Linked DNA regions of Bombyx mori. The protein of the gene in region 1 interacts with the protein of each later gene in a pairwise test. Links are inferred from orthologs where the notes say so. Each region holds a gene or a part of one and is shown in the gene's direction. Other genes may lie near its edges.

Region 1 (4,765 bases):
AATTTCGAAAAGGGCACATCTCTGAAAATGTAAAATGTTCAGGAAATGAAAAAAACTGATTATTTTCTAAAGCAGTGTAAAATTTAAAATATTAACTTTTGAGATATAGTTTTAGTATTAATTAGCAATTGAAGATTACTAGAATTATTATAAAATGGGTGTAGGTAAGCCTCAAAACTACATGTATATGAAAAAACGTATTTGACAAAATATGCGACATGTGCCTTTTCGAAATTGCATATTCAAATACAAGTTTCATTTTTGGCCTTGAAGTCGTAAATTCTCTTTTGGAATGATTATAATTAGTACTGAAAAGGTTTACTAGTAACATATAGGTAGACCGTGGATTCTCAAATTTCGCATTTTGATTCGAACTACAAACTCTTTATAATACATTCACATCGTGAATATACTTTAATTACATAGATAACACGAAGAACTAAAATAAAAAAACAATTACCTATGTTCTCAAAAAAGTTTTATTGTCAAAATTTAAACAAGTTCGAAATTCGAACGCGTGACGTAAGACATGCCGCGCGTGAAAAGCGCGGGAAACTGTTTGGAAAGTTGGCGAGCTCGCACCGCCTGTCGCCCCGCCCCATACTCCGGCTGTTCTGTTCGCACAGCGCACTGACTCCTTCGCACGCCAACTCGCGGCTAACCACACGCGGACGTGGCTTTCTCAATCTATCACTCTTTGTTTAGCTCCTTATTTTTGATTGGAGCCGAAATACGAATTTTCGTAATTGAGAACACGTAGCTTTTCGGTTGAAAACTTGAATTAGAATCTCAATAACTAATTTACAATCAAGCATCGGGTAGACAATCGAGTTGGTCGAATGAAATATTAATAATATAAAAATCACATAAATCTAAATTATTTATAAGTAATAATATCCAGAATGTTGTGTTTTTTTTTTCGTTTTCTAGGAAATAAAATTAAGCCTGTTTATCTCATATACAAACATTATAATTTATATCTGTAGTGCATATTTGAGTAGCATGATTTTTTTATAAATAATGATGAGTAATTCTATTCCTTTTTTTTCGTATAATTTGGCGATGCAGACATAATTAATCAACTCAAAAAATTCGACGGGTGTCGTTGGATAGCCGTGCCATTGAAATTCTTCACGTGCTTCAATGAAAATGAAGTGCCTCCCCATGAGTGCGGCACCTCTCCAATACTTTTGTCGACTCAAAACATGAAAATCATAATTTTTCATGAGCTCGTTGATAGGTTTTCGCACCGGTCGCGGTTTCCCGCCGCCCCGCGGCCTAATTACCGTCACTTTACGATACGTCACCGCGTTGATTCAAAAAAATCCACCCATCCCTCTCTCGCAGGCGGGCGACGTGCGACGGCGTCCCGCTCGAACGAGAATTTTTATAAAAACGCAGAGATCAACCGCGGCCGTCCCGCTCGTTCCCGCCGCGGGACCGCATCACCCGCACCCTTCGTCTCCTTCCCGCTTTTTACGAGACGTAGGGGCCGCCACCCGGGTGGGGGCGGCGACCGCGCGAACGCAAAATATTGACCATCGGAAAAAGTCGCGTCGTATCACAGTCATCAGTCGAAACCGAGTTCCCGCGGCACGCGTCCCTTGGCCGCTACTTCGGAGCGCGTCGTGAGTCTTCGGCTTGCGGTCGCGCGACCGCCCGTTTATTTTTCCGAGTCCCCCGCCCGGCGTCTTGCCGTCCGCGCCCAACAAGTGGTGTAGACTGTAGACGGTGACTCGCAGCTCACACGACGTCTCGCGCTCGCACTTTACACAACTTTTCCGAGTGCTCCCCGCGCACGCAACGGTCGCCGCGAGTTCGAACTTCGGTCGCGTGTTTTTAAAACTTTAATCGAAGTGTTCAGACCTCAGTGGCGTGTCAGAGAAGTGTTCGGGGGTAGTTTGAAGTCGATGCACCTCCCGCACGCGAGTCCTGCCGTCAGGATGGCAGACGTTTACGCTCATATCCACGAGTACTACCGGCAGAGTCACGGAGAGTTAGTACAGACTGGTTCTCCGGCTGTCTTGTGCTCTGCGTTACCTGGCCATTGGAGGTCGAATAAATCATTACCGTTGGCTTTTAAAGTAGTGGCACTAGATGACGTTCAAGACGGCACTCTAGTTACGATAAAGGCTGGAAACGACGAGAACGTGATGGCCGAACTCAGGAACTGTACCGCGGTGATGAAGAACCAAGTGGCAAAGTTCAACGACCTGAGGTTTGTCGGTCGGAGCGGACGAGGCAAGTCCTTCACCCTCACCATCACCATCAGCTCATTTCCTTCACAAGTCGCCACCTACACCAAAGCAATCAAAGTAACGGTCGATGGACCAAGGGAGCCGAGAACAAAACAAAGTAAGTTACTATATCTGTAATGTTTCATATATTTTGTGCGTATATAATAATATGTACCACCAAACTTTGTCTATATCTGCCGCGAAGCTCAGAACAACCGCAATACAACTAAGACTTCGATTTGATATGTCAAAGCGAGTGCCAGCAATCCTGTAGTGATGTCTATGACTCCGACAACCACTTATCATCAAACTGAACGTAAGCTCGTACACACTTTTAAGCAAAAAAAAGATATAAATGAATATTACAATTAATAATATATTTGAAAATGTGTACGAAATCAACTATATAAAATATATAACTTTATAAGTACTGTACAACGATCAACGGGCAAATATTAAATCCATAACTAATTGATTATAACACTATATACTATACACTATATACGACTGTATACTAGATATCAATACTGTGGTTTCAGAGGCAATTAGATAGATACTTATAAAATGCCGTTGCTAATAAATGATTTGGGGTTTGTGTACTAAATTTAAAAATACTAAACCTTACTCAAAAGATTATGCGACAATCTATTTATTTAGCAGTTGAGACTGGTAGGTTTGCGATTTATTTGATGTTACGAGTCCATCGTAACTTAGGCGTCATACGGTGGATACTATTGCTCACCTTGAGCAATTAGGTCAAGGTCTCAATTGGATTGCAATGACGGCTTTTCGATCGAAATATGCAACAGAATTAGACAGTAGACAATAAGAACATCCTAGCTAACTTTCGGCTAATGTTCTAGGAAAGTAATTTAAGTATATTTCTACTACCACAGTAGAATATGATGAGGAAGTGTTTTACTGGTGGTAGGACCTCTTGTGAGTTCGCACGGGTAGGTACCACCACCCCGCCTATTTCTGCCGTGAAGCAGCAATGCGTTTCGGTTTGAAGGGTGGGCTAGCCGTTGTAACTATACTGAGACCTTAGAACTTATATCTCAAGGTGGATGGCGCATTTACGTTGTAGATGTCTATGGGCTCCAGTAACCACTTAACACCAGGTGGGCTATGTGCTCGCCCACACATCTAAGCAATTAAAAAAAATATATAGTAGTTCGTCCGAGTCTATTTTCCATATTTTTTCAATAACAACCGAACACAGTCTTAACATTTATTAATAATAAAATAACTCAATAGTTACTAGACAAAAAGACAAATACATTTTAGTTGAAAATTAACAAATCCAATTTTGAAATTTATTATCAGTTTGTTACATGGACAGGAAAAATATACTTACTACTATACTATTATAGAAACACATTTTTCTTGCCTAACACATTCCATGGTATGTTATTCAAAAGTTTTTTAACAAAATATTCTTCCAAAAACAGTAGCCATAAAACGGTGAAATGTAAATTCTTTGACAGTAAACTTAAAAAAAAACCCTCCGTTTCTCAAAAAGTCACTACTGGAGATTAACCATTAGTCGCAAAAAATAAAGATTAATTTAGTTTTGACTATACTTCTAAACACACCCGTTGGTTCAACCGATGATCCGTCAGATTATATTCGCAATTAAACTCGTATGTATTTACAACTACATTGGTTATAAAAAACGCGGGAACGCATAGATCACGATTTATAAATCTACAAATACATAAATTAAAAAAAAAAGTAATCACCAAGTTAATCTATGATTTTGATATTGAACCCCGTGTAAGCTATAGAGTATTCGAACAATTAGAAATAAAGAAAAAAACACGCTTAATGTAAGTAAGATCTACGCGGAAAAAACTACGTGAAAACACTAGAAAACACAGGATAATCTGTATTTGAATACCAAAAGGTACATTCTATTGAACTATCCGAATATTTTATTTGTAACAGAAAATTTTTCTAAAAGCAAAAATCATTCCATAGATAAACGATAACAATCCGAAGCTAATAAGTTTCGAAAAAAAAAAAAAAAAAAACAATATTGCAATTTTTCTAACATCAATCATTTCATTGTTTAATTAACATTGAAATTTATCGGTGCTGCTTACATAAATAACACAAAAAAAAAAAACATAAAAAATATATATATCTTATAATCGTGTCAAAGTGATGTGACGTTTCACTCTGGCCGGGCGCCAGTCCACGGTCCGAGGTCGGTTTTGCGGCGCCGCGGCATTCGACCACATTCAAACTAGTTTTATTTTCGTTTTCACGCGTTTAAAACAATCCTAAAACACTTGACATCGATGTACTGAAGTCTAAATACAGATACGTTCGCACTGGCGCTTGCTGAGCATACGATTAAAACTAATCTGAAATATTAGCACTGATGGTGTGGAAACTTGTTAGCCAGCTCTAATTTGGATAGTGCGTTACACTGCCTATTGTGACTGCGTTCTGGACCCCATGTCCGCTCCAAACATATGCGGACCGTCCAGTCCCACATATCCCTCGCACACCCCCTAGGCACG
Region 2 (4,786 bases), on another chromosome or scaffold:
GCTTGTATAATGGGTTTAATAGTTATGTTTAAGTTATTGGTTCATAATATTTTAGTAAATAAATAAACCAAATTCGACTTTATCTCCAGCAGCAATATGCAATTTAAAGTTTAACCATAGTGAACTTTTTAATAGTAAAATTTTCACACTTATTTCGGCCACGGTAGTTTTTGCGTGATACATTTTTTTATATTGACATAGGCGATAAACCAGCAAACTTACTTTGAAGTTGAGGTCTCAATTGTATTAGTTTTTTTTTTATTGCTTATATGGGTAGACGAGCTCACAGCCCACCTGGTGTTAAGTGGTTACTGAAGCCCATAGACATCTACAATGTAAATGCGCCACCCACTTTGAGATATCAGTTCTAAGGTCTCAGTATAGTTACAACGGCTGCCCCACCCTTCAAATCGAAACGCATTACTGCTTCACGGGAGAAATAAGCAGGGTGGTGGTACCTACCCGCGCGGACACACAAGAGGTCCTACCACCAGTAAGTACCATTGTAAAACGTTTCTCTTCAAACGGAAACCCATGACTGCTTTTCGGCTGAAATAAGCAAGACGGCGGCGGTACTTATGGGTGTGGATTTAAATAATATACGCCTCACCACCAAAAATTTCGCCGCTTCATTTTATTACACGATGTTGTTATTTGTTGGTGGAAGTAGTTCTTGAACACTGATGTGATGCGTATGTTATTAAAAAAAAGGTAAATTGGTTTAAAAAAATTGGTACTGCCTGCCACTGCAGGCATTTGCCATGAACACTGACCTGATTATGTCATCGTTTGATAAGAGTACATCGGGCATCTTATCCTTTTGGATAACTTGAAAAGAATTTAACAATCAATGAAAAACGGACTAAGAAAATTAATTGGACTCAAGTATAGTTAACCAAAGCACTCTCTAATTCTATAATACTAAGCTTAGATAGATTCAAATAAATTATTTCGAATAGTTAATGTTTTAATAGTAGTGTACATACCTATATTCTACTGTATGAGACAGCCTTATTGCGAAGATGTATTGTTAACAATAGAAGACGACAACTGATAGTTATCGGCAAACACTTACCAAGAGATAAGTTTAAGTGCACTTTATACATTTCACAGGATGTGTGCCGCCTATTGTATTTTAAAAAAAATTATGGAAGTACTTAAATTCGTCCGATTGAGATGTTTCACATTGATTTTGTTTTCTAATCTCTTCGAAAACTTTTTAATTACGATTAGTTAGATAAAATATGTAGAAAAAATATTATTTTTATATTTTCTTTAATTATTATTGAAAGCTAACGTGACAACATTTTAAAATTGTACTTTACAGATCGAGTAAGGGTAAAGACTGACATTTGATTCATGAATAATGGCGTTACGAAAATCCTTGTTAGCTTTATCGTGGATCGAAATCAAGAATAATAATTTAAGTAGCCCTATAAAATAAGTATAATAGCATACAAAAATATCACATTTCACTGTATGACATCCTGGCTTGACTACCCCTTGATAAATCGGTCGTATATAACATACATTTATCTCGCTACAAAGGAACAAAAGCATCGATACAAGTATATAAAACACTCGAAACTTCCAAAAAGGATAATGCCCATCATTATAAATTCATGTGCTTTGTCGTTTACAGTATTTATTTTCAACAGTTTCGTTAGGGGAAAACCCTCTTTTCGCTCGAAAGCTCCCGAAAGCGTTGAGAGAAGGCGTCGGGCGTTTCGTTCGGGCACGGGTATTGGCTCCACACTTCCCCACCACGCTAAGTCTCCGCCCTAATGAAAATTCTCCCCTAGAGCATGGTATGAGATTTCATTCAGTACCGGAATGTCACGGAGGCAGGTGGTCGTGTCGTAGTACGTACGTCAATTCGTATTATTTGAGTCATTCGTAACGCTGAGTCAGTGAGGCACGCGCGCTAAGTGATGTTTGGTTCCGTGCAAGCAAAGCTATAGGAGCCGTAGGTTATGCACGCTATGAGTGATCCTTCGCCGTTGGCCGGCATGTTGCCTTTTGACTCTATCTACGAGCAGCCAAAGCCAAGGTTCATTTTCAAAATGCCACGTGTAGTGCCCGATCAAAAAGCCAAATTCGAATCAGACGATCTCTTCAAAAGACTTAGCAGAGAAAGTGAGGTGAGTTTTTATAAATGCCAACTTTAACAATTGTATGCAAAGTGAATTGAGTATTCGTTTTTAAATTTTAATGGTCCGATTGCTAAGCCATGCTTTAAACAAACAGGAAAATAATGCATTTGTATAATGTTATATTAGTCATCGACAAATAATTAGCGTAAAATACTTTAACTTATAGTAGTAGTTAGTTCTACATGATAAATATAATAACAAAAAAATTGAAAATTCACTAATACTTATTTAAAACATTTGTAATTCTTAATTTTATTAATTTTTTAATTCCATATAACATGTTATTACAAGGAACAATTGACGATAGGATGATTTAAACCTTTTTCGATCAGAATGTACGAAGTTTGACCGAGTAGAAGGTTCTTTGATTGAAACATAAAATAGTTTCAAACATATTTCATTTATTTCTTATTATCTTATCTTATCAATTATCATTTACTGAACTTAATTTTGATTAAAATAAACGCATTACTATGTACATACCCGACCTAAATACTGAATCTGCATGCTAACTTTCATATCTAACTAAAAGAGAAATCATAAATTCATGTTTATCTTATGGAATTCATGGATTTCGCTGTGAATTTACAATACACCCACAAAAAGAAGAAAAAAAACAAGTCAGAAAGATATGAAAAGGAGTAGGTATACTTAATATGAGACTTCAAAGCGATATTAGCCCACTGAGTTTCTCGCCGGATCTTCTCAGTGGGTCGCGTTTCCGATCCGGTGGTAGATTCTGCGAAGCACTACTCTTGCTAGGGTCAGTGTTAGCAACACTCCGGTTTGAGCCCCGTGAGCTCACCTACACACGTCAGGGTGAAGCTGAAATAGCCTCTCAATACTATCAGCATAGGTAGGAAAAAAAAAGAGGAAAAAAATAAATAAATACAAAAGCGATATGCGGAAATAACAATTAGGAAACAGGTTAATGATGTTCTGGGTTATCGTTAGAAACTTGAACGTATGTATGTACATACATCTAAGCGGCTCAATCCACATCGCACGAATAAATAGCAGTAAAATAATTCATTGTAACCATGTTTAGGGCATATCTATGAAAATTAACAGACGAGTACGAAAACACTTATTACCGGTGGTAGGGACCTTTTGTGAGTCCGCACGGATAGGTACCACCGCCCTGCCTATTTCTGCCGTGAAGCAGTGATGCGTTTCGGTTTGAAGGGTGGGGCAGCCGTCGTAACTATACTGAGACCTTAGAACTTATGTCTCAAGGTGGGTGGCGTATTTGCGTTGTAGATACCACCACTTAGTGTAGTAACCACTTAACACCAGGTGGGCTGTGAGCTCGTCCAGCCATCTAAGCAATAAAAAAAAAAGACATACATGTAAATAGTTATTGGAAATACCTGAGGAATAGCCTAGGATAAAACTAAATAGCATACGGAAAGGAAACCTATACTCGTCGAATGATCCCAAATCATAGATACAGCCCACTGAGTTTCTCGCCGAACCTTCTCAGAGGGTCGCGTTTTCGATCCGGTGGTAGATTCTGCGAAGAACTGCTCTTGCTAGGGTCAGTGTAAGCATCACTCCGGTTTGACCCCGTGAGCTCACCTACTAGCTAAGGTTACGCTGAAATAGCCTCTCAAGGCTCGGCTTAGGTAGGAATTTAAAAAAAACCAGCAAATGAACACAGCATTAAATTTTATTCAAATCAATTTAACGATTTATCTTTAATAGCTCGAATTTAATTTATTCAAGCTTTATTTAAATTTACTATAAACTTTAGTAATTAATTGACCAAATAGGAAATAAATGACTAATACAATGAAATAATAAATAATCATTATAAGTAGGTTTACTTATTTCACGTGCAATAAAAAATCTGCTGCACATTCTGTTGCACAAACTTGTCTGAAGGAATTTCATAACTTTTTTAATGATTCGCAAACCTTCTGTTGTAAATCAAAACGAGTAAGCATTTACAAGAGCGATCATCAAGTAGACAAGAATAGCCTAAAAGAAATTATCCACGGTGTACTAACCGAATTGAAGAAGGAATATATTTATAAATATCAATAGTATAATGCACTCCTCTTACTGTCCATATTGTGAATATTTATTTTTTAGCGCACTACGCACTAGATGATGTTTATGTAAATAGATTTTCAAAATGCTTTGATACGCAAGATAAACAGTATATTTATGGGATGATATATTTGTTGGCAGGTTAGATACACTGGATACCGAGACCGGCCTCCCGAAGAACGCCAGATGCGATTCATGAGCGGTTGCCGCGAGGGACACACGGAGATAGCGTTTACCGGTACCGGCACAAACCTTCAGCTTGTCTTCGATCACTCACCCTACAACAACCGTGGCTGCGACTTTCAAAAGGAAAATGGAAAAGTAAGTCTTAAATGTTGTTTTACGTAAACATCGAAACGGTTTTCTGGTCAATGGTAGCCAGGTCGTCTGATGAATGAAGTGAGGAAATTTTGAAATGGTAATTTTTACATAGCTGCGTTTTGTTTGAAAAAATCTCTGCGTAAACGGCCTTCTGGAAGAGATCGTAAATAATATTAAATTAAATAATTAATTTAAAAAATAATATTTACTTATTCGTTTTTAAATTAAATTATGTTTCGTATGTTTCAAATAAAGTATCT

What was found.
Region 2: the proteins of Run (region 1) and protein big brother interact in a two-hybrid assay, tested with the Drosophila melanogaster proteins (2 studies listed by BioGRID). The link is inferred for Bombyx mori from reciprocal best matches to the Drosophila melanogaster genes run and Bgb.

The regions. Positions count from the first base shown.
Region 1 is NC_085109.1:9,753,705-9,758,469, forward strand, and holds the start of Run (runt), read left to right. Parts: upstream 1-1,569; 5' UTR 1,570-1,910; coding exon 1,911-2,355; intron 2,356-4,765. UniProt on the Drosophila melanogaster protein: Plays a pivotal role in regulating the expression of other pair-rule genes such as eve, ftz, and h.
Region 2 is NC_085110.1:9,019,308-9,024,093, forward strand, and holds the start of protein big brother, read left to right. Parts: upstream 1-1,712; 5' UTR 1,713-1,973; coding exon 1,974-2,141; intron 2,142-4,346; coding exon 4,347-4,526; intron 4,527-4,786. UniProt on the Drosophila melanogaster protein: Regulates the DNA-binding properties of Runt.